4 linked regions of the Sus scrofa genome follow. The protein of the gene in region 1 purifies or fractionates together with the protein of each later gene. This does not show direct contact. Links are inferred from orthologs where the notes say so. Each region holds a gene or a part of one and is shown in the gene's direction. Other genes may lie near its edges. The genes, in order: ALK, PLCG1, GRB2 and SHC1.

Region 1 (5,901 bases):
CACTGTACTCCATTTTCTGTCTTGCAAGTTTTCCCAGGATTTGAAACCATGCACTTCTTAGTCAGATATCAGGTTTAAATCCTATAACAAATCTTATTACCTGTATAGTCCTCTATTGAGAAGTTGCCCTCTCTAAACTTCCATTTGTTATCTGTAAAACAAAGATACTGTCACTTCCCCTCGTAGTGTTAGTATGAATCTTAAGTGAGGTAATGCATGAAAATTATTTTGAAATATGATGGTTCATAATATTTACACAAGATGTTTTAGTTACCACTTCTGCTCATACTTTTAATCTGTTTCTATTTTGTCCACTTGCTCTGAACTGCTCTTTTCTATTGCCCAGTGGCAATGATATATATATAGCATAGAAATGTCAAAATTGTAGCTGTAGGCTTGGGGAAGAGGCCAAATTTGTCTCAGTGGGATATGTAAATTTTGGAGGAAAAGAATCACTGATGTGTGTTCTAGCTCTGTTATTTACCTGCTGTTTGACCTTGGGCAAATTATTTTGCCTCTCTGAGCCTTAGCTTTTTTGTCTCTGCAATGGAAATAAAATATGTACCTTTTCTCAGAAGGCCACTATATGATGTGATACACATGCGTGTGCGCACACACACACACACACATACACACACACTCTTTGTTTTACAAATCCATATGTATAGTGACAGATAAACTCTGTCAAAACTCATTTCTGCCTCTTTTTCTAAATTAACAAAAAGGTAACCATATTTTTAATACTTAAAAATTATTTAGTCTGTAGTGGGAGGCACTTGTCCTTCTTTTTGGGAAATTTGAGAAAGTTTATAAAAGCATGATAATTAATTGAGACTCCTGTGTCCACTAGGTTCATAGGCAATGGTCTTGGTGATTATTTGGGAGAATGGTAAACCTTCTGGGCACCTGAAGTTGAAAGTCTCTGCAGCCCCCTAGTGGCCATTGATTGTAGCCAATTCATAGTTATTGACAAATTCCTGGAGTCAATTTGACTTTGGACAAGAATTATATAGAGAAATAAGGGCTGGAGTGGGGAATAAAAGGACCTACATTTTAGTCTTTCTAGTGTTTCAAAACAAAAATTACCCCTCCACCAATATGCATGCCAGTGATGTCCGACGAAAATCTAAACTTATTTGCTCACATGCTAGGAAAGAATTAACCAACATACCTTCTTCTTCCTCTTCTTTTTTTTCCCTCTTTCCTTTCCTTCCTCTACCAAGGTAGGAGCATCACTTTTCTGGAATAGATCATTCTTTGCTGCTCCATAAGGGAGATTCAGCTCCACTCTGTGCACCAAAGACTGTACTTTTGTCTATGATTTTAGTGAACCTCTTGCTGTAAACACAGCATTTATCCAGATCCTATGATAGTAACTCAGGAGAGATCAATGGAGAGATGAAATATACAGCTCTCACTTCACAGGTGAATAAAAACGGGCCTGCAGTTCTGAACTCTTACTCCCAAGGCTGTGTGCAAGAGTACTGATCATTATTCCTTCTAGATAAGTCACTTCTAGATCTTCTTGGCCTGTTACTCCTAGAGGGGTATGGCAGAGCAGTGGGTAAGAGCTTGGGAGGCACGTAGGACTATGTTACCCTAGGAAAATCAGTTAAGATCTCTGTGACTCGGTTTCCTTATCCCTAAAATATTTACCTTGCAATGTAAATAAGGTGACACATTTAAACAGCATTCTGAGTAAACGTGGGGTGACTGAGGTCTGAAATTTGTTTGTTATAGCTGAATGACAACTCTGCAGATTGCCAGTCACTTCCCACCCCCTGACCGTCCCCCCCCAAATTTGGCGACGTCGCTCTGCCCCTCCTCCCCCTCCTCCCCCTCCTCCCTTCCTTTGGCCTCCAGTTTTATTCCAGAACTGCTTTTCCGAAGTCGGACCCGTTTAAATGCAAAATCAGGGAGAGTGCTTGATTGTTCTTCCAGTCCTCCCATTTACCAAAACACGCTTCTTTCTGTACACAGCAGCGAAATAGGGCAGGGGATCTGGAGGAGGAGAAGGAAGGAGAGGGGGAAGAGGAATGGAGGAAGGGCGGGGAGGGCTCTTTGCTTTTCTCAATGAAAGCAGAGTCTTCTGCAGATTTACATAGGAGCCGACCTCGCCGCGCAATTGGCTGGCGAGTGCGAGCGGGGCGGGGCGGGCCTTCGTGGGCCCTGCAGCGGCAGAGAGTGGGCATTCGAGCCCCGCCCCCGATCCTGCCCCGCCCCCTCTCGGCGCGCGCTCGCGGCTCAGCCAGCTGCAAGTGGCTGGCGCCCCGGCAGATGCGTTAGAGCAGCTCTGGGGGCGGTAGCAGCTGGCAGCCCCGCTGTCACGATCCTGAGGGTCGCGGGGCACAGAGGCGACTTCCAGTCGCTCTCTGGCCAGCCACTGAAGCCGAGAGAGCTGCCGATGGGTGAGGAGGGGGCAGCAAGCTTTCGGTCTCTCCGGCCCTGAATGCTTTCACTCGGCTGCGGCCGCTGGGGCCGCTTTGGTGCCTCAGAACTCTGAGACCAGACGCTGAAGGAGAGCAAGGACGCTGCAAACTTGCGCGGCGGCAGCCTGAGCGTCCGTTCCTCAGCGCGGTCTCGGTTTAGGTCCAGAAGTTCAGTGAGTAGTGCAATCGGAAGACTTCCCACTGCAGAGGGTCGCAGGAGGGTGCGCGCGAAAGCAGCTGTTGCCCTCGGTTCCCTCTCAAGACGAGGAAGAGGAGCTCAGAGGAGCCGAAGGCAGCTCAGGAGGCGGACCGGACAACAGACCAGCTCGGAGCCACCTTTCACAGTAGGAAAGTTGCAGAGGATTGAAGGCCGCGCAAGAGAGGACAGACCACAGCTCAGGCCGCGGGGGGCAGGAGAGGACGGTACCCAGTTGCCATCTCTCTTTAACCGTAGTCGTCTCTCTCATTCCAGGCGCAGTGAGCTGCAAAACCCGGGGCGCGGCACTCCGCGAGGCGGGCGAGAGGCACAAGGTCCCAGCTGCTGAGCCCTTTGCGCTTCAGGGTCTCTTGACACGCCCCTGAGCTTCCAGCTCCGTTTTACTGAGATTACTGCTTGCCTCCTTGCAGTTGGAGGAAAGAGAATCGAGTGCACAAACCCCCGAGATCAGGTGGAAGGAGCGGCTCAGGATCAACACTGTTCGGAGCCCCTTCCCATTTAAGGGAAGCGGAGGGCGAGGCTGGATCTGGGAGAGTCGGGAGATAGTATAAACAACCCCTCTCTGACGGGATGGGAGCCATAGGGCTTCTATGGCCGCTGCTGCTGCTGCTGCTTTTAGCGGCAGCCTCGAGTTCCGGGACTGGGACAGAAACCGGCCAGCGCGTGGTCTCACCGGCCATGGGGCTGGCACTGCAACCCCGGGAGCCGCTTAGCTACTCGCGCTTGCAGAGAAAGAGCCTGGCGGTGGACTTTGTGGTGCCCTCGCTCTTTCGCGTCTATGCCCGGGACCTGCTGCTGCCGCCGCTGTCCCCCTCGGAACCGAGGACTGGCCGGCTGGAGGCACGCGGCTCTCTGGTTCTCGACTGCGCCCCACTGCTTAGGCTGGTGGGGCCTTCACCCGAGGTCTCCTGGACAGCAGGTGCCAGCTCTCCCGCCCCGGCCCAGGCACGGACGCTGTCCAGGGTGCTGAAGGGAGGCTCTATTCGCAAGCTCCGGCGCGCCAAGCAGCTGGTGCTGGAGCTCGGAGAGGAAGCGATCCTTGAGGGCTGTGTAGGGCCCCCCGAGGAGACGACGGTGGGGCTGCTCCAGTTCAACCTCAGTGAGCTGTTCAGCTGGTGGATTCGCCACGGCGAAGGGCGGCTGAGGATCCGCCTGATGCCCGAGAAGAAGGCGTCGGAAGTGGGCAGAGAGGGAAGGCTGTCCGCTGCGATCCGCGCCTCACAGCCCCGCCTTCTCTTCCAGATCTTGGAGACCAGGACCGGTGAGCAGCTCGTGCCCGAGCGTTTCGGGATTTGGTTTCTTACACGCATCAGTTTTCAACCGCTATTTACTAACCCTCATTTCCAAAACCTCAGCTCGCGATTCTTAGCTTTCTTTCCCTCCTTCCGCAACCCCCCTTTTTCAGTTAGACCATATTTAAAAATTTTTATCCCTGAACAGTCACTCTCCAAGGGATTCTCCCTTTCTATCTAGCAACCACTTTGGGGAAAAAGTTTCCTGGTCTTGGGAGAATGACGATTTCTACTATCTTACACAAGATCTTAGCTAAAATTGAATGCCTGTCTTCTGGGGTTTCTGGGACGTTTGAAATCCCTTTATTACTTCTGTGTTCCGAAGGCTTAGTTCTAGATCTCAAAATTGTTGTCTTTCTTCTTTTCCTCTTGTTCCTCTTTCTGGCCACCACAGGTTTGGGGAACGTGATACACTTTCTCAGAGAATATAGAACTCCTCTTCATATTGTTAAATCCCACCCAACTATGCCCTCTAAATGTTGGTTTACCTAGGAATTGCCTCTTCCTCATAAATTCATTCTATTCTCCACCCAACCCCAGGCTGCTCTCCACTCACAGACTCTTGTTCTTCCTCTCAGATGTCTTGGGAGATCCCCACGGGAACTAAGGGATAGGGGACAGGAGGGAGATGTGGAGGGAGGGAGCAAAGTTGCCAAAATTGTTTTCCTTTGAGGGAGTCACTCTGAAGCCAGGGAGAGACAGTGGTTGATTTCCCTTTCTTCCTGTGCCTTCAGTTTCTTCCTTCTAATTCTTAGCTTGAATGTCTGCAGCAGAAGATCTGGGTTACAGTCTCTGCCAGGCCTATTTCACTGCAGATCTCTCTGTTGGAGATTCCTGAAATGAGGTTTCTGTTTCATTTACTCTCTCATTTTCTTCCCATATTCACTGAGTTGGGGGTGTGTATGCAGGCACTTACTTCTAACTCTTCCCATAGTATCCTTTGCCTGGAAAACTAGGTGATTTTGAATGGACAGTTTCTCTTGTAAGACCACTGGGGAAAGACTTGCAAATAAAATATGCAGTGTAAATGATTGAGAAAACACAGAAAAGAAATCATGCTTTTAAAAAGCCTACACTAATTCCATTGAGCAAAACTCAGCATCTTTTCTGTCATTCTCATCGTCAGAAATAAATGAACTTCTTATGCTCCACTGATTACTAATGTCTAGTATTAATTGGACTGAAAGCCTTGAAAAAAGCCCATTGTAGAGCTACAAGTATCTCTCATGCTTGTCCCAACACACACATATCCTCCCACATACACCCAAGAGTCGTGCAGCAGGGATATTCAGAAGCTAAGCTTTCTTAGTCATGGCAGAGAAAACATTGGTATATGGTCCCCAGGGAAATCAAAGTCTGGATGAATATTTCAGCATTACCATTAGTGGCATTGACACCTAAAATGACCCCTTTGTGTTCAACGTTGGAGTTTATACCAGTCCATGGCAAGAGGCAGGGCCTGATGAATTTGATAGTGTCTTCTGTGAACTGAGATAGGAGACCAATACTGTTGCCTCACCATGGATACTTTTGTAAAGAACAGCTGTGCTTTAATGTTGTCTTGGCTTCTGTGGTTTATACATGCAACATTCTCTTTTAGTGCCTAATGTTTTTGTAATGGATATAAAAATTACTTCTCTGGGAATGCAGATTTTCTTTCACTTTTGTGTCTCTGAGCATCTCTGGAGATTTCTCGTTACCTCTTGTTGAATGGTCCTAGGCCCTAGCAGTCTAGATCCAGCTGTTGTCAGATGTTGGTGATGGGCAAGAGGGGTCCTTTCTGCAGCCCTGAACTTACCTACTGTAAGAAAGCAGATTGCATGAAGTAATCAGTGGTGTCTCTGAAGAGACACACAGTTACACACACGTATTCCAGTCACGCATTAGATAAAGAGTTGAAGCTGCTGAGTGGGGGAGTTTCATGTAGAGATTAGTGTGCTCTAGGAGCTGATCCGCTACTGGC
Region 2 (5,228 bases), on another chromosome or scaffold:
CAGGGCAGGGGAGCGGCCAGAGCTCTGCCGGGTGTCCCTTCCTGAGTTCCAGCAGTTCCTCCTCGAGTACCAGGGGGTACGGCTGGGCTGGGGTTGAGCCAGGGTGCTGGCTGAGGGGGCTGGGCACACCGCTGGCTGGAGGCCTCTCACGTGCCCTGACCTCCCTCCCCATCAGGAGCTGTGGGCTGTCGACCGGCTCCAGGTGCAGGAGTTCATGCTCAGCTTCCTCCGAGACCCCTTGCGAGAGATAGAGGAGACTTACTTCTTCCTGGACGAGGTGAGCCCTGCCTCTCACTCCCTGTCGCAGAATCAGGGAGCCGGTGGGCTGACCGGAGCCCCGCTGGGGCCTTCCCACTGTCCACTGTGCCCTCACCTGGACTGAGCACCCTCTCCTGCACCACCCTGTGCCGTGGCCCAGGGCAGGGGCTCATCATCTTCTCTCCTCTCCACATTTGTTTCTGGGCAGTTTGTCACCTTCCTGTTCTCCAAGGAGAACAGCGTGTGGAACTCGCAGCTGGATGCCGTGTGCCCAGACACCATGAACAACCCCCTTTCCCACTACTGGATCTCCTCCTCTCACAACACGTGAGTGGCCCGCTTGACCCCCTTGGCCTGACCTCAGGAGCTGGGGCTCGCCTGACCGCCCTGCCCCGCTTCCCTGTCCAGGTACCTGACCGGGGACCAGTTCTCCAGCGAGTCCTCCCTGGAAGCCTACGCCCGCTGCCTGCGGATGGGCTGCCGCTGCATTGAGTGTGCGTGGGGGCCGGCCTTGGGGGGGAAAGGGGAGGCCTGCCCGCGTGACTGTGGTCGCCTTGCTCCTCAGTGGACTGCTGGGACGGCCCAGACGGGATGCCGGTCATTTACCATGGACACACTCTGACCACCAAGATCAAGTTCTCAGACGTCCTGCACACCATCAAGGAGCACGCCTTTGTGGCCTCAGAGTGAGTGGGGTGGCTCAGCTCCAGCTCTCTCCTGGCCGCACCCCACCTTCCACCTCCTGCTGCCTGGCCTGCCAGAGCTGTGCTTCCTGCATCCTTAGCCCACCCTCTGCTTGAGGCCTTCTCCTCAGCCTGTGGTGCACAGTCAAGCTCTTCTCATCATCAAAATTACTTCCTTAGCCCTGGGCCCTGGGCCATTGTCCTGCCCACTGCTTTCCCCTCCCAACCCAGAGAATTGCCTGTGCTCCCTGTGTCTCGCTCTGCAGTTCCTGTTAGTCCTCCCAACCTGTAGTCATGGGGCTCTCCCACCTCACTGAGGGGGTCACCAGCCCCCCCACCCCCCATGGCTAATTTGGAGGCTGCTTGTCACCTCTCCTGACCTTGGGTGTGGGATGTTTCTCTTTGCTGCTGGGACAGCCTCCGTGGTTGGACCAACTCTGGGGACGCCTGTTGGCCACAGTCCCAGCCTTTGGTTTCTGCTGCACCCATAGTGCCTCTGTGAACCCTCCCCTCCTCCTGCGGTGGCAGGGCCCGCCTCTTCTCTGGGGTGGCTCTCTGGGGAAAGGACCTCAGCCCCTAGGCTCCCAGCTCGTCTCTTGGTGAGGACGTGAGCCTTGACGCTGCAGAATGGCAGGGTCTGTATCACGCACTAGGTACCCGGTCATCCTGTCCATCGAGGACCACTGCAGCATTGCCCAGCAGAGGAACATGGCCCAGTATTTCAAGAAGGTGCTCGGGGACACGCTCCTCACCAAGCCCGTGGACATCGCGGCCGACGGGCTCCCCTCACCCAATCAGCTCAAGAGGAAGATCCTCATCAAGGTAGGGCTGGCGTTCCTGTCGTGGCGCAGTGGTAATGAACCCACCTAGGATCCATGAGGATGCGGGTTCAATCCCTGGCCTCGATCAGTGGGTTAAGGATCCCGTGTTGCAGTGAGCTGTGGTGTAGGTTGCAGACACAACCTACTGTTGTTGTGGCTGTGGTGTAGGCCGGCATCTGCAGCCCCATTTGGACCCCTAGCCTGGGCACCTCCATATGCCATGAGTGTGGCCCTAAAATAGCAAAAAAAAAAAAAGGTAGGGCTGTGTGGGTCCCACCTCTGCTCCGGTGTCAGTCTGGGCCTGGGTGAGGGGGTGGGGCTCTGGGACCCAGGCTGGCATGCCATGTCCCGGCCTGTCCCCTGCAGCACAAGAAGCTGGCTGAGGGCAGTGCGTATGAGGAGGTGCCTACGTCTGTGATGTACTCTGAGAACGACATCAGCAACTCCATCAAGAACGGCATCCTCTACCTGGAGGACCCTGTGAACCACGTGAGGGCTGGGCCGGGCTGGGCCGGGGGCAGGGTGGCGAGAGGGCTGTCTCCACAGGCCTGGCTCCCCTCTCTTCCAGGAGTGGTATCCCCACTACTTTGTTCTGACCAGCAGCAAGATCTACTACTCAGAGGAGACCAGCAGTGACCAGGGCAACGAGGATGAGGAGGAGCCCAAGGAGGTGAGGGACTGGCCCAGGGCCGGGGGCTGGGCTGGGGTCAGGGTCATGGAGTGTCTCTGCCAGCGCCCTCCCCCTGCAGGCGAGCAGCAGCACAGAGCTGCATTCCAATGAGAAGTGGTTCCACGGGAAGCTCGGGGCGGGGCGGGACGGCCGGCACATCGCCGAGCGCCTGCTCACAGAGTACTGCATCGAGACCGGAGCCCCGGACGGCTCCTTCCTCGTGCGCGAGAGTGAGACCTTCGTGGGTGACTACACCCTCTCCTTCTGGTAAGCCTCCCTGCGCCTGCACATGTGGAGAGGGCGCCCCTGGGACAGCCACCCTGCAGCGTGGCACAGGTGCCCGTGGGCGCACAGGCTTCCTCAACGTGAAGACCCTGTGGGGCTCGCCTTTCTCCCCGAGACGGGGCGCCTCGCAGCGAGTGGAGGGTGGTCGGGCCGGCCTGCTGCTCACTGCCTCCCTGTCCCCCTCAGGCGGAACGGGAAAGTCCAGCACTGCCGGATCCACTCCCGGCAGGACGCTGGGACCCCCAAGTTCTTCCTGACAGACAACCTCGTCTTCGACTCACTCTACGACCTCATCACACACTACCAGCAGGTGCCCCTGCGCTGCAACGAGTTTGAGATGCGCCTCTCTGAGCCGGTCCCGCAGACCAACGCCCACGAGAGCAAAGAGTGAGGGCGGGGCCGGGGCGGGGCCGGGAGTGGGTGGGGGCGGGGCCAGGGCTGACTCCGGCGTCCACAGGTGGTACCACGCGAGCCTGACCAGAGCGCAGGCCGAGCACATGCTGATGCGCGTGCCCCGGGACGGGGCCTTCCTGGTGCGGAAACGCAATGAGCCCAACTCCTACGCCATCTCCTTCCGGTGAGGGGGCGCCCTGGGACCCCGGGGGTGGTGCCAGCACGCCTGGTCCCAGCTGTCCTGACCCTGTGTGACTGCTGTGTCTCTGTCAAGGGCTGAGGGCAAGATCAAGCATTGCCGTGTCCAGCAGGAGGGCCAGACTGTGATGCTGGGCAACTCGGAGTTTGACAGCCTCGTGGATCTTGTCAGCTACTATGAGAAGCACCCGCTGTACCGCAAGATGAAGCTGCGCTATCCCATCAACGAGGAGGCATTGGAGAAGATCGGCACAGCTGTGAGGACCTGGTGGCTGGGGGCAGTGGCGGGGGGGGGGTGCCTGGCAGGCCGCGGAGAGACCTGTGTGGTCCTCCAGAAATTCTCAGGCTTGCTGCCGGGCAGGGTGCACCTAAGGGTCCTTGGGTGATTGGATGGATGCAGTGGAGAGGCCCAGGGCATTTCAGCAGCTTGTGGGAGGGCTAGCTCGCCCAGCTGGGGGCACACAGGGTGCCAGGAGGTGTCCAGGAGGGAGTGGTCTCTGGGTGGTGTCCACAGGACAGGCATGAGTTAGGAGTGAAGAGGTGGAGACAGGCATTCAGTTAGAGTGTCCACAGTGGGCCGGGTAGGGAGGTCTTCACACTCTCACAGGGAGAGCCCAGGCCGGGGAGCACAGGCTCCACGCAGAGATGTGGTCGAGGCGGGCAGAGCCCCAGTGGAAGACCACTGAGGAAAGAAGGCAGGGTCGTGGCCACGGGGAGAAGGCAGGCGTCCAGAGTGGGAGGTATGTCCACTGGAGACTCTGGTCCGAGTGGGCCCAGGTGGCCAACAAGGCCACGGAGAGGGCTGCCGCCCGCTGGGGCTGGGAGGTGAGAGGTGTGTGCTGGGAGCACTTGGGGTGGCGGTGGGGGTCCTGGCGCCTGCATGGCTATGCCGTGCGCCTCGCCTGCAGGGCAGGTCTTCAGGAGCTGGGCTGTGGGCTGGGCAGTGAGGTGAGAATGTGGAAAGAGGGGCTGAGGCGTGAGGTTGGGGCAGCCCAGTGGACCAGGTGTCAGCGGTGGGGGCGGACTCGACGGGTCTCGTGAGGAAGCCAGCTTTCCTCGCTGGGTGTTAATGTCCTCTGTCCTGTCCTGTTTCCAGGAGCCTGACTACGGGGCCCTGTATGAGGGCCGCAACCCTGGCTTCTACGTGGAGGCCAACCCTATGCCGACTTTCAAGGTACAGCCTAGTGCTCTGGGCACAGGAAGCTGGGGAGGGTCCCCAGCTGCTCGGGGATTGCATTTCTCTGCTCAGGGCCGCCTGTGGTCTTTGTGGAGAAGTGGTGTTTGTGGTTTTCCGAGGCCTGAGCGGTGGTGAGAGGTATGCGGTTGATGCGCAACCGCAGCTCTCCCAGGGCTGACCCCTCCCAGGCCTTGTCCCTGGGGGTCAGCCCTGACTCTTCCCGACTGCCCCTGGGGTGAGCCCCCTTTCCTCCTGGGCCGGCAGCAGGACAGGGTGGGGGCACGCTGGCCAGAAGACGTCATTTTTTGCCGCTCCGCCCCCACACCTCCAGGGGGGGGTCTGTCAGACAGGACCTTCCTCGCTTCGCCTTTTCTTCTGAGGGACGAGGAGCTGTGTTCTGCCCTCACCCCCTTTCCTCGGCAGCCCGGGAGCCTGCGGGAGTCTCTTGCCTACTTGGCAGAGGAGGAATGGCGGGGTCCCAGCCACACCCCAAGGTCCCCTGGTCTCAGGGGAGGCACTCAGCACCCACAGACGCTCCCTTCCCAGCCTCCCAGCCTGACGCCCGGGGCAGGGGCTTCAGGGTTCCACCCAGACCCCATGGAGCTTCCCGCAGGCCCAGGGCCAGGACTGCAACGAGGGCGGGTTTCCGGCAGTGACAGCCGAGCCCAGGCACACGCGTGTGCGCAGGTGGAGCAGGGAGGGCCTGTCCGCCGTGCTCAGCGCGCCTCTCCCCGCAGTGTGCC
Region 3 (5,761 bases), on another chromosome or scaffold:
TTTTTTTTTTTTTTTCTGGCCACCATTCTAGAACAAAGAATCAGAGTGGGGAAAAAATATATAGGTTATAGAGCAAGGCAGGTGTAGGTTCAAATCTCAGATCTAGGGGTTCCCTGGTGGCTCAGCAGGTTGAGGATCCAGCATGGCCACCACTGTATCTTGGAGTCATTGCTGTGACATGGGTTGGATTCCTGGCCCTGAAAAGTCTATATGCTGTAGCCGCGGCTAAAAAAAAAAAAAAAAAAAAAAAAACACCAAAAAAACTCAGATGGAATGTACTGGGGTTTCCTTGGGTAACTTCCTAACCGCTTTAAGCCTCAGTTTCCCAGTCTGTAAAATGGAGAGAGTATCCAGTGTAAAAACACCATGATATCAGCATACATCACGTGGTAGATAGATGGTCCTCTTGTTCTTTTCCCCTCATGCCAGACAGCTCCTGCTCAAAACCCTTCAGAGGCTGTCATTTGTCAGCAAAGCCTCAGCCGCACATCTTGGCCTTGCCTCCCATTACTCTGCTCCCTGGATCCTAAACTCTGGCTGATCTGGAAGACCAGCGATTCCATCACTCCCCCTCCCTGTTTCCAGGTTATAGTTCAAATGCCAAGTCCTCCCTGATTGCCTGAGCTCCAGGTAACTGGCCCCCTCCTTTGCAGGTCCTACATGTGACCCTTAGGGCCAACTCTTCTGTCTTGCAGACCAGACAACTCTCCTCTAGAAGACAAACTGCTGAAAACAGAGGCTCTGTCCAGTTCATTTATCACCCTGCGTGCCACGCATGCAGCTGATGCTTGACAAATACTTGGTGAAAGAATAATTCATACTCTTTATTTCAACGGGCTTGTTTTCTTCAGGGAATCATGTTTTGTTTTGTTTGTCTTTTTGGCCTTTCTAGGGCCCAGGCTAGGGGTCCAATCAGAGCTGTAGCTGCCGGCCTACGCCAGAACCACAGCAATGCGGGATCTGAGCCGCGTCTGCGACCTACACCACAGCTCACGACAACGCCAGATCCCCAACCCACTGAGCAAGGCCAGGGATCGAACCCGCAGCCTCATGGTTCCTAGTCAGATTCATTCACCACTGTGCCAGGACAGGAACTCCCACGTTTCTTAATTTTTATATCTTGCTCTTTTGGTGGCTTCCGGAATTCACATCACCGTCAGATGCTCTGTTCTCTCCTTTGATTGGGACTGAAAAATAAGAGTTACTCCTCCAAGCCTCATCTTCTGCCACTACCAGGTAACTCACCCCGCCTCATACAGGAATCAAACTACTTCGCGTTGCAGGGAACACGATGCCCACGCCTCCGTTCCCTCGTACGTGCGTGCTGTTCCCTTTGCCTGGAATGCCCTTGCAATGGCTTCTCTGGCAAACTCCTACTCATCCTCCAAGACAGCTCAGATAACGCCACAGCGTTCTCCGAGAACGCTTTTCTGAGATGGGAGGAGCGGCGACCCCTCGCCTCTCCTCAGCCTTCTCCAAATAATTCTGACCGTACTTATGGTATTATTTGTTCTTTCCCTCCTATAGATCTTGAATTCGTTTCTGTGCAGAAAGGGCCCGGATTTCTGTTCTTAGTTGGACCCTCTATACTTGACACAGTGCTTAGAATGTACTAGGCACTTGGTTCAATCGATGAGCGAACGAATATGTTCATTCACCTAACGCAGCAGAGTTTGTTTGGACCAGATTCTCAAATATTTCCAGACCTGATCCTCTATTTGGCTTGCTTCACGTGGGAGGGAGATTCCCCCCCAACCCCGCCAAACTGGGTTGGTGGAAGGGGAAAACGAAGTGATTAGGGTGTGCATAAAAGTCCTTTCTTGGCTGGGGGAAAAATGTAATTGTAATGTATACATGTAAGGATAACCTGACCCCCTTGCTGTACAGTGGAGAAATAAAAAAAAAATAAGTTGATATCGGCCATCAAAAGTAATATGACAATTGAATCATGCAAATGTGGGGCATAAAAAAAAAAAAGTCCTTTCTTTCGGAGGTGAGTTGTAATTGACCCGCTCTGGCACCGAAAGGGTTACGGCGACCCAGGGGTGGAGCCCTGTCGGTGCCACCTGCTGCGGGGCGGCCTGGCGCCTGCGCTCTGGCCTGTAGCTGATCTACCTGCGGGGGGCCTGGCGGAGGAGGAGCGCTTGCGCTCTGGGCCTTTTCCGCCGGGGGAAGTCTCGCGGGGGCGGGGCGGGGCGGGGCCGCACAGGGAAGTTCTCGCGGGACCCCGACCAGGAGCGGAAGCGAGGCGGCTGTGCTGCTTCAGCTACCGGACCGCGGCGGCGACGACGAAGACTGTGGCGGTGACGGCGGCGAGAATAGGCGCTGCCCTCGGGGAGCAGCAGAGGGGTCTGCGGCCGCTCGCACCGCTGCAGAGGGGCCGGCCGGGCGTGGAGCGGAGCAGCTGCGCCACGGTGAGTGTGGCTGGCGGCGACGGCGCTGCTCGCGTGCTGCTTCCTCCCCGCTTCGTCGCGGGAGTCGGCCCCGGGGGACCGGGCCCAGGGTACCGTGGGCTGCCGGGCCTGGGGGTCGGGAGTGCGAGGCTCCGGGCGGGGAGCGGAGCGCCCGGGCTCCGGGCTCCATGTTTCCCCTTTTGGGGCGCTTCCTTCCCGGGGACCGTCCTCTCAGTACCCTTGGCTTGGAACAGAGCCCTGGACGAGAGGCTGGGGGCTCCTGATTTAATTTTATGCTTTCTTCGTGAAGGTTTGCACAGGGGGGACCCGGAGAAGCCCGAGAACACAGGGTAATCATTCTGTGAGTCAGTGTGACTTGGCCCGGGAGGCGGGGGATTCGAGGCGGGTTGCAAATATGGTGATTGATGCTCCTTCGACCTATACGGCCACCACGTCACCAACTCCTGGTGTTTGGGGGCCGAATTTTGGGAGGAAACCCACCAACCCTATTAATACTGTGAGCGAGGACGTTTGTTACCGGAGCCAGTAGAAATACCTTTACTTTTATTGCGCTTTTTTTTTTTTTTTGACTGCTTCCCTAAAAACATTTGTTAAGAAAAGTAAGCAGCAGTTAATCGGAATGCTCCGAAGAAAGATTTCCGTGATCGAGGGCAGAGAATCGCTGGCACTTTTCATTTGCAGCTCTCTCTGTGTATAGGATTGTAAAGCCATGCTAGTTAACAGCTTATTTAGGGAGTTCACCTAGGCTGGCTTCAGATGCAGCAAAAGTATACTTTGCAGAAGAGCCGAAGTGCCCTCGCGGGTTCTGTCTTTTGCTACTCTTGAGTCTCAGAAGAGGGTGGAAAAGAAAGGCGCACTAGAGAAATTCGCTTTAGTCTTCTGGGCTTTCTAGTCCCTCTGTTCACTTTGCACTCCACAGTTGCTGCCTTTCTAAACTTCTCCCTTGTCTTCTGCGGCCACGAAATGCTTACTCCGTATAATGCAAGTCACTTGCCCCCTCCCCCCTTTTAGTCTAATCTACTTCCCCTTCCTCCTTATTGTCCCTTTTGGCATAATTTTTTGAGGTTTCTGCTCTTTCGCCCGTTCGTTTTTCTCCCTCATTTAAAGATTCCGTTTCTCTCCCGGAAAGATGATGCCCTCTTCCCTGCTTTATCCTTTGCTGTGAAGCGTCCACTGTGTTTCTTCAGTCAGCCAGAAGGGTTGCTAGAGAGCTGTGCGAGACTTAAGGTCTCCCCCTGGGAGCTGGGAGGCTCAAAGGATTGAGTTCAGCCGTAACCAATACTGCACTAATACTGCACTAGATCACAAGTGTAGCTTGCTGGTGTTTTTGTGTTTTAGTTGTTTTTTTTCACTTTTAGATCGCATTTTTGTGCCTGCTCAGGTTTTTCTATGTCTCTCTTATGTTAGTAAGGAAGATTGGGTCAATTTGGGGCTCATATGCCTTCTTTTTGGCTTTTAGCGGGGGAGGCGACTTAAAAAATGAAAACCAACCATAGACACCTATATTACAATCAAGAGAGCTTGAACCATTTAAGGGAATAGAATTTATTTAGACTACTGATGAATTAATTAAAGCTTGCCTGTTGGAGTAGTACTAACTTATTCTTTCCCAGGCTTTTAAAGATCAGGTGTCTCTTCCTGCATCTGCTATAAGCAGCCTTCTTTGTTATTGTTGCTGGGCTTGAGGGGGGAAGGCGGTTGACAGAAAGAAATAACTATGTTCTGTTGGCCTTTCCTTTGTTTAAAATGTTCTGAATCCCCCAAATTTAAAAAGGTTAATTCTTGTAATCAGCTTTGTTTGTTACTAAAAGCAAGCACTCAAATGCTTGAGGCAGTTTACTTCCTCAGCAAGTGTGTTCAGATTTGAGGGATTACTAGGTTTTTCAATACAACTAATTGATGGTACTTAGAGATTTTTCCCCGAAATTCTTGTTACCATGTTGCACATTGTGTAGCAACAGTTCTAATGGTTACTTAGAACAAAAAAGTAATAGATTTTGGAGAAATGAAGTAATACGGAATAGAGACCCACTATGGTTTCCTGAGAGAAATTAATAGTTATTCGCTTAATTCAGAAGACATTTCTGGCACTCCTGAATGACTATTGAGAGCCTTTGTTTTTTTTTTGTTTTTTGTTTTTTGTTTTTTTTTTGTCAAAGTTGGCTTTTTCACAGTTGTGCCAAGTGGATAGGCGTTATTTTCAATTTATGCAAAGACATTATGCATCATCTGAGATGTAAACTTTAAAATCTGGTAAAGATACCTTTACAGTACAGCATGATTTTTTAAATTTAGCATGCATAAGAATTACCTATGAATCTTAACTTAAAATTAGGTTCTGGAGTTCCCGTTGTGGCTCAGTGGTTAACAAACCTGCCTAGGATCCACGAGGACGAGGGTTCGATCCCTGGCCTCGCTCAGTGGGTTAAGGATCCAGTGTTGCTGTAAACTGTGGTGTAGGTCGCAGATGCGGCCCCATCCCACATTGCTGTGGCTGTGGTGTAGGCCAGCGGCTTCAGCTTCAATTCTTCCCCTAGCCTGGGAACTGCCATATGCCACAGGTGCAGCCCTAAAAAGACAGAAGACCAAAAAAAGAAAAAAAAAATTAGGTTTTGGGCCTAAGGCCACTGTGCTGCAGAACTTCAGAAGGCACCTCGTAGTGAATCAGTCCCTGAAAGAGGTGATTTTGATGTAGCTGGTCCAAGGACCAAAACTGTTGTTACAGAATGCATCCATAAATTGAGATGGTAGTGTGGCTTTAAATTACTCAGCATAAAATTACACTTTCAGTGTATACAGAGTAAATTTTTAAAAGCCTAACAGAATAAGTGGCTGTAGATATGATTAGTTGTTGTATGTGTGAATATTTGAGCATTGTTAGGACTTGGTGTGGAGCTATTTAATTTGAAAGTTTATGCTTAATAGGGCTGTTAATTTGCCTGCCAGAGAGTTCTTCAGAGTATGTATGTAGATGGAAGTTCTGGATTATTGTGAGAACACGGGGGCCGATATTTGAGAAGGGGCTGGTGGTGCCGGTAAACACCTCTTAGCACTCTGTGCCGGGCACTCGGCTAAGGCCTTTTACAGGTGCTGACTCTCTTAATTAGTAAAATGACCTAATACGGTGTAGATGCCCTTATTTTCCCCATTTCCCAGCTGAAGGATACTAAGCATTAGAAAATGTAAGTTATTTCTCTACTGTTGCCCACTCAGTTAGTAAATGGTAAAGGGACAGTTGAGTCCAGGTCTAATTCCAGAGCATCAGTAAGATTTTGGTTTTTGTTTTTTCTAGCTACAAAAGCAGTTCATGCTTATAGTAAGGACAATGAAAATACAATCGAGATGTA
Region 4 (5,989 bases), on another chromosome or scaffold:
CCTGAGCTCTCATGCTCCACCGGGTAGGAAGGCAAAAGTTCACATCTCTGGTTCTGAGAAGTAAGAGATTAGAGGCAGCCCTTGTCCTTATCCCCTTACAAGGGTGGACCTACTTGTAGGGGGCTGGACTTGGGGTTTGGCACGAGAGCGGGAGGGAGACTTGCTCATAGACTCCCAACCCCACTCCCTGAGTTTCCCTTCCCAGGACCGACTCCACCCCAGAAACAGCTGTTTGTCTCATACCTGTCCATCGTCGTCGTCGTGGTCATCGTCGGGAGCTGGGTAGGGCCATGGATTTGTTGATGTGCGACATGTGGGTGTGACAGAAGCGCAAATTTTCTATCACCAGAAAGTGGCTTGCAGTGGGTTAGGGAACAGTGTCCTTTTTGCTCTTTGATTTTTTTTTTTTTTTTTTTTAAGGGCCTCCTCAGGCCGCAGCATTTCTCTGGCTCTTCCCTTCCCCCTAACCAGAGTTCTAGTCTGGGCATTCCTCTTTCCCGCTTGCCCAGCCTTCCCTTCTGGAAACATTCCTGAGGCTTTCGCCATTTCCTGCTACTTTCCGCCGCTCTTGCCTCCTCCTCCCTACTGGGCTGAGGCGCCACACGCAGCTTCTTCCCCACACCCAGAGGCCAGGACTCTCAGTAGCAATCTCTTTTCTTCCTACGTAAATTTAAAGAGCCCTGCTTCCTCTCTTTTGTCTGACGATGCCCACACCTGTTGGTCATCCACGACCTCTGGATCCTGCAGGCAGCCACCAAATGCCTGCCTCTGAAGATGAGCACATCCTGGTGTGTGTTTGTGTGTGTGGAAGGTGTGAGGCTCCGGCAGCATACTTTCTTCATTCTCTCTAGGCCTGGGAGCTGAGGCCTTAGGAAAGAGAGCCATAGAGTTTCTTCCCAGGAGTGGCAAATGGAGTGGCAAAGCTCTCCTCCGTTGTGGACCAAGAGGAGGTGATAAGCACAGTGTCTGACACGTTCGAAGTGCTGGTGCTGTTGATCACTATAATCCTATGATTATTTGCTGTCTTTTTATCCTGGGAGATAAATTTAAGGATAGATATTCCGAGGCCAGCCTGGGGGGCTATATATATCTTTCACTCTTTATTTCTTGGTCACTTTCCAGCTGCCTCCATGGCCCCCTCGAGCAGAGCTGGCGTGAAGCTGTGGGTGGAAGGAATGGGTTTGAGACTGTTTCCTGTGTCCAGCCTCAGTCCTCCTTTTCCTGGCACTCCTTTCCCCTTGGCACAGATTGGTCTTCTGCCTACCCTATCCCTTCGTGGCCTGTAGCCCCCGTCCCCCTCCTCTTGGAGAACTGTTTCACTCTCCCCTCCCCAGCCAGACGCTGCCCCTGGCGGGGTGGGGCCTCGGGCTCTGTGGTGGATACCTGTACTCTCTAGGGTCCCTACGGCCAGAGGAGGGGTAGGAGCTTACCTGCAGGTCCAGGGCACTGACGTTAGTGTCAGTGCCCTGGCAGCCCCCACCCCTCCTACCCTTGATAACTTGCTTGGCTGCGGAAAGTGGTGGGGGGCTGCAGAAGGGTGCCTGGCATGAGTTGCTGCTCCTTGGCATGGTAGACGCCATGCAGAGAACAAGCCTCCACCAGCCTGTCGTCTGCTCCGGCTCCTGCCTGGTGGCTCCCTGATGCAACACCCATCATGATGATGAAGTAAGGGACTTCATTCCCTTACTTCACCAGCTCTGCCCTTCCCCTTGGCCCCTCTCTGCATCCACCGGGACCATGTCCTTCCTTTTCCCATTTCTGTAGCTCCCTCCCCGGCTGTTGCAGCGGAGGATGCTAATGACCGAGACTAGGGGGTGCTGGGGGATGAGGGAATCTGAGTGTTCGACCAGGACAGGAAGGGAAATGCTGAGCTCAGGGATCCCCTCCCTTTCCCACCCCCAGCTGCCTCTGTTTCCTCCCTCATTCCCCACTCCCCCCACCAGCTTCCTGCTCCCTTTGACCTGCCCATGTCCGGTTTGGATTGATCCAGACCTCCTCTTATCGCCCTCCTTTCCTTCTCACCCCTCCATCCTTCCCTTCCAATCCCACTCTACTCCTCCCTAGATTACATGTTGTTTGTACGGGGTGGGCCGGGGTGGGGGCGGGGGGGGGGACGGGGGTGGGGCGGGCGGTGGGGGCACGGTGCACTCTGCCCCGAAAGAGTTCTAGGTTGGGGCGGTGTTGGGGGCTCAGCCCCTCAGAGCCTGTGAGTCAGCACTGTCCACGGGATTGGTCTCTCCCCTTTGCTCCCCGCCCCTGGGGAGGAGCCAGGCAGCTCTAGGTCCAGCCTGTTCTCCTCTCAGCCAGAGAAGAGGCTCCACGCTGGGCAGAGATGGGGCCTGGAACTGTCTGGGTCTGAGCCGCGGGAGCCAGAGCCACTTGTCCCTCTCCCTCCCCAGGACCCTTGAGACCCCTGGGCCACAGAGGTCCGATCAGGCTAAGGGCCTGGGGATGCCCCCTGCCTGGCCCCCTTGCCCTGACTGGCAGGGGGGCCAGGCTGGGCAGCAGCCTCCCTCTCACTCCAGCCATGGATCTCCTGCCCCCCAAGCCCAAGTACAACCCACTTCGGAATGAGTCTCTGTCATCGCTGGAGGAGGGGGCTTCAGGGTCCACTCCACCAGAGGAGCTGCCTTCCCCGTCAGCCTCGTCCCTGGGGCCCATGCTGCCACCTCTGCCAGGGGACGACAGCCCCACCACCCTGTGCTCCTTCTTCCCCCGGATGAGCAACCTGAAGCTGGCCAACCCAGCTGGGGGGCGCCCAGGGCCGAAGGGGGAGCCAGGAAGGGCAGCCGAGGATGGGGAGGGGACCGTCGGGGCAGCTGTACCCGACTCGGGCCCCCTACCCTTCCTCCAGGACATGAACAAGCTGAGTGGAGGCGGCGGGCGCAGGACTCGGGTGGAAGGGGGCCAGCTGGGGGGCGAGGAGTGGACCCGCCACGGGAGCTTCGTCAATAAGCCCACGCGGGGCTGGCTGCATCCCAACGACAAAGTCATGGGACCCGGGGTTTCCTACTTGGTTCGGGTGAGTGAGCGTCCTCCCTCCCTGACCCCTTCAGTTCCTCTGCTCATGAGTCTCTCTTTTTCGCCCCTTCTTTTCCCCAGCAACTCCCTTGGTTTCCGTGTCCTGTTTCTTAAGCCTTTTGTGCGCCTTCTCTGATTCTGTAGCCCCTTCTCTTCCAGCTCTGTCTGGGTCCCCTTGGGTCCTGCGACTCCCCCACCCCTACCCCCAGCCTGCCATGCTCAGCACAAAGCCCAGGACAGGCCCTTAGTAAGTGTTGGAATGAGTGGCTCTTGAGTGACTCCCCTCCAGTCTGCTCCCCCTTTCTGGAGTTGTCACTCCATCCCAGCCAGGGCCTGTCGCTCCCCTCCAAATTCCCTCCCCCCACCCCCCACTGTGCAGGAGGTCCTCCTAGCTCGCCCTTCTCTCCTCACCCCCTATTGTCCTGCACTCTGTGGGATGGAGCCACGGGCAGCGGGGCAGAACTTCATCTCTTCTTCCCTGAGGGACCACGTAGGGCAGAGTCCTACGGCCCTTTGTGAAGAGGCTGGAGGGGGGCGGCTGACTCTCCTCCTCGCATCCCTCCCCTCAGTACATGGGCTGTGTGGAGGTCCTGCAGTCGATGCGCGCCCTGGACTTCAACACCCGGACTCAGGTCACCAGGTTCGTGGGGAGGCGGGGCCGAGAGCGCAGGGCTCCTGGCATTCAGGCCGGGAGGGGGTCGCTTGGTGGTGGTGGCTAGTGCTGGCTTGTCTTTGGGTGGGGAAGGCGATTTAGAGACAGGTAGGAGAGTCAGTCTAAGTCTCAATGAAAAGAGACAACTCTGACCCGGCTCCTTCTACGTATCCAGCCTGGGGAGTTGTGGGGGAGGTGGCAGAGGCAGCTGGCAGCTGGAGCTTGAGTGGAAAATGGGGGTAGATGGAAGGTTGCTGCCCGCCGCTGCCGCCGCCACCACCGCCGCCACCACCACTGCCGCCACCACCACCACCACCACCACCACCGCCTTTGGGAAGGGGCTGGGACATTTGGTAGCTGGAAGGGGGTGGGGCCAGACCCACTGAGGCCCTAACCCAATCAGCCAGGAAGCGGCCTCTCAGTGTCATCAAATATTAAAGGCCCTTAATTCAATCCACCACGACAAAGAGCCTGGAGTGCCCCTGGAGTCTGGCCTGGCCTTCCCCTCCCCCAGCCCTGTGGCAGCCCCAGCCGAGTGGGAGGCAGGCTCTGGGTCTGAGTACCCCTCTTTCCCCAGGGAGGCCATCAGTCTGGTGTGTGAGGCTGTGCCGGGTGCGAAGGGGGCGACAAGGAGGAGAAAGGTACCTGGGGTCCACGGCACGGGGGATGCTGCCGGGAGATGCGGAGGAGCAGGGGCAAGGCTAGTGTGGCGCGTGTGGGGAGAAGGGCAGGAGTGCGGGCGGTTTCCTGGTGTGGGATCTCCCAGCTTCTGAGACCTGGGGCCCTTCCCCAGCCCTGTGGCCGCCCACTCAGCTCCATCCTGGGGAGGAGTAACCTGAAATTTGCTGGAATGCCAATCACTCTCACCGTCTCCACCAGCAGCCTCAACCTCATGGCCGCAGACTGCAAACAGGTTGGTGGGGTGGAGTCAGGGTCAGGGCGGGGGGTGAGGGCGTGCAGAAACACCGATGGGAAGGCTCAGTGGGAACCTGGCCACGAGGGCAAGAACTTAGCAGAGAAGCCTTGGGCGCAGCAGAGCTGTAGGGAAGGTGTAGATTAGGAGGACATGGGTTGAGAAGCCAAAGGGACGCTGGGGTCCCGGGCCAGTGGTGGGGGGTGCCCAGTGGACCCTCAGGCTGCCTGACACCCGTCCTTCCCTTCCTTCTCCATCCTCTGCCCTAACCCTCAGATCATCGCCAACCACCATATGCAATCCATCTCGTTTGCGTCCGGCGGGGACCCGGTGAGTCGGGGAGTGCACCAAGGTGGTGGGAGAGGAGAGAGGGGCTTGGGATGGGGGGGGGGAAAACTGGCTAGAGAGGTGAGTGTGCTAGGACCGAGGCAATAGCTGCTTAGGGCCGGGTTTGAGGGGTCAGGACTGAGGTGGGGCTCTACCGTTGAGCTAACTGGCCTCTTCTGATTCTGTCTACCCCAGGACACAGCCGAATATGTCGCCTATGTTGCCAAAGACCCGGTGAATCAGAGAGGTGAGGCGTGGTGGGGAGCGCTGGGTGGGGCCGGCTGTCAGAGAGACAGGTGAGCAGGACCCGGGAGCTCAGCAGGGGCTCCTGCTGCGGAGAATGAGGGCGAGGGCCCCGTCTGTGCGTGCCCCCCGCCTTCCCCCCGAGTTCCCTGACAGCCTCTGCTGTGCCCCCAGCCTGCCACATCCTGGAGTGTCCCGAAGGGCTTGCTCAGGACGTCATCAGCACCATTGGCCAGGCCTTTGAGTTGCGCTTCAAACAATACCTCAGGAACCCGCCCAAGCTGGTCACCCCTCATGACAGGTGAGCAGGCGAGCGGTGGGGGGGGGCAGCTCTCGGGCTGGGACCGGAATTGGAAAAGTAGGTCTGCTCTTCCCACGCTTGAGCTCAGAGAGGAGCAGGGAAGGAAATAACCTGTGAGCCCCTGCTTCCCACTTCCTGCTATTCTTACGTTTCCTGAGGCCATGGGGAAGGCCTTTCGAGGCCCTGCCTGCTGCCAGGCCAGCTCTTCCTCTCGGGTGCCCGTGCTGGAGCTGTAGTCCAGGGCCGCCCGCTCCAGCTCTTCCTGGCTGGATGGGCTTTCCTAGTCCCAGCCATCTCTTTCTGGCCTGTCCCTCTCTCTTGCCCATTTCTCCATATTTAGTGCCTTCTTGCCCCTAGAAGCCATCAAGAATTTGGGCGAGGGAGCATGGCTCTTTCCTGAGATCCTTACCTCTCCCACTTCAGACCAGCAGTGTTGAGAATTTAGGGGAGGTTAAAATATTCCAGAGGGAGATTCTGTTGTGGCTCAGCGGTAACAAACCCGACTAGTATCCATGAGGATTCAGGTTCAGTC

Evidence for each region.
Region 2: the proteins of ALK (region 1) and PLCG1 purify together in Homo sapiens (affinity purification with western blotting; 3 studies listed by BioGRID, with this or other methods). This does not show direct contact. The link is inferred for Sus scrofa from reciprocal best matches to the Homo sapiens genes ALK and PLCG1.
Region 3: the proteins of ALK (region 1) and GRB2 purify together in Homo sapiens (affinity purification with western blotting; 3 studies listed by BioGRID and IntAct, with this or other methods). This does not show direct contact. The link is inferred for Sus scrofa from reciprocal best matches to the Homo sapiens genes ALK and GRB2.
Region 4: the proteins of ALK (region 1) and SHC1 purify together in Homo sapiens (affinity purification with mass spectrometry; 3 studies listed by BioGRID and IntAct, with this or other methods). This does not show direct contact. The link is inferred for Sus scrofa from reciprocal best matches to the Homo sapiens genes ALK and SHC1.

The regions. Positions count from the first base shown.
Region 1 is NC_010445.4:109,408,956-109,414,856, forward strand, and holds the start of ALK (ALK tyrosine kinase receptor), read left to right. Parts: upstream 1-2,190; 5' UTR 2,191-3,216; coding exon 3,217-3,907; intron 3,908-5,901. UniProt on the Homo sapiens protein: Neuronal receptor tyrosine kinase that is essentially and transiently expressed in specific regions of the central and peripheral nervous systems and plays an important role in the genesis and differentiation of the nervous system.
Region 2 is NC_010459.5:43,832,829-43,838,056, forward strand, and holds part of PLCG1 (1-phosphatidylinositol 4,5-bisphosphate phosphodiesterase gamma-1), read left to right. Parts: intron 1-3; coding exon 4-76; intron 77-175; coding exon 176-277; intron 278-466; coding exon 467-585; intron 586-666; coding exon 667-752; intron 753-823; coding exon 824-944; intron 945-1,594; coding exon 1,595-1,763; intron 1,764-2,128; coding exon 2,129-2,251; intron 2,252-2,330; coding exon 2,331-2,432; intron 2,433-2,511; coding exon 2,512-2,699; intron 2,700-2,903; coding exon 2,904-3,104; intron 3,105-3,174; coding exon 3,175-3,294; intron 3,295-3,384; coding exon 3,385-3,565; intron 3,566-4,404; coding exon 4,405-4,482; intron 4,483-5,222; coding exon 5,223-5,228. UniProt on the Homo sapiens protein: Mediates the production of the second messenger molecules diacylglycerol (DAG) and inositol 1,4,5-trisphosphate (IP3). Plays an important role in the regulation of intracellular signaling cascades.
Region 3 is NC_010454.4:5,938,440-5,944,200, forward strand, and holds the start of GRB2 (growth factor receptor-bound protein 2), read left to right. Parts: upstream 1-2,283; 5' UTR 2,284-2,414; intron 2,415-5,761. UniProt on the Homo sapiens protein: Non-enzymatic adapter protein that plays a pivotal role in precisely regulated signaling cascades from cell surface receptors to cellular responses, including signaling transduction and gene expression.
Region 4 is NC_010446.5:94,820,663-94,826,651, forward strand, and holds the start of SHC1 (SHC-transforming protein 1), read left to right. Parts: upstream 1-2,171; 5' UTR 2,172-2,527; coding exon 2,528-3,022; intron 3,023-3,590; coding exon 3,591-3,661; intron 3,662-4,250; coding exon 4,251-4,314; intron 4,315-4,466; coding exon 4,467-4,586; intron 4,587-4,862; coding exon 4,863-4,916; intron 4,917-5,108; coding exon 5,109-5,160; intron 5,161-5,330; coding exon 5,331-5,457; intron 5,458-5,989. UniProt on the Homo sapiens protein: Signaling adapter that couples activated growth factor receptors to signaling pathways. Participates in a signaling cascade initiated by activated KIT and KITLG/SCF.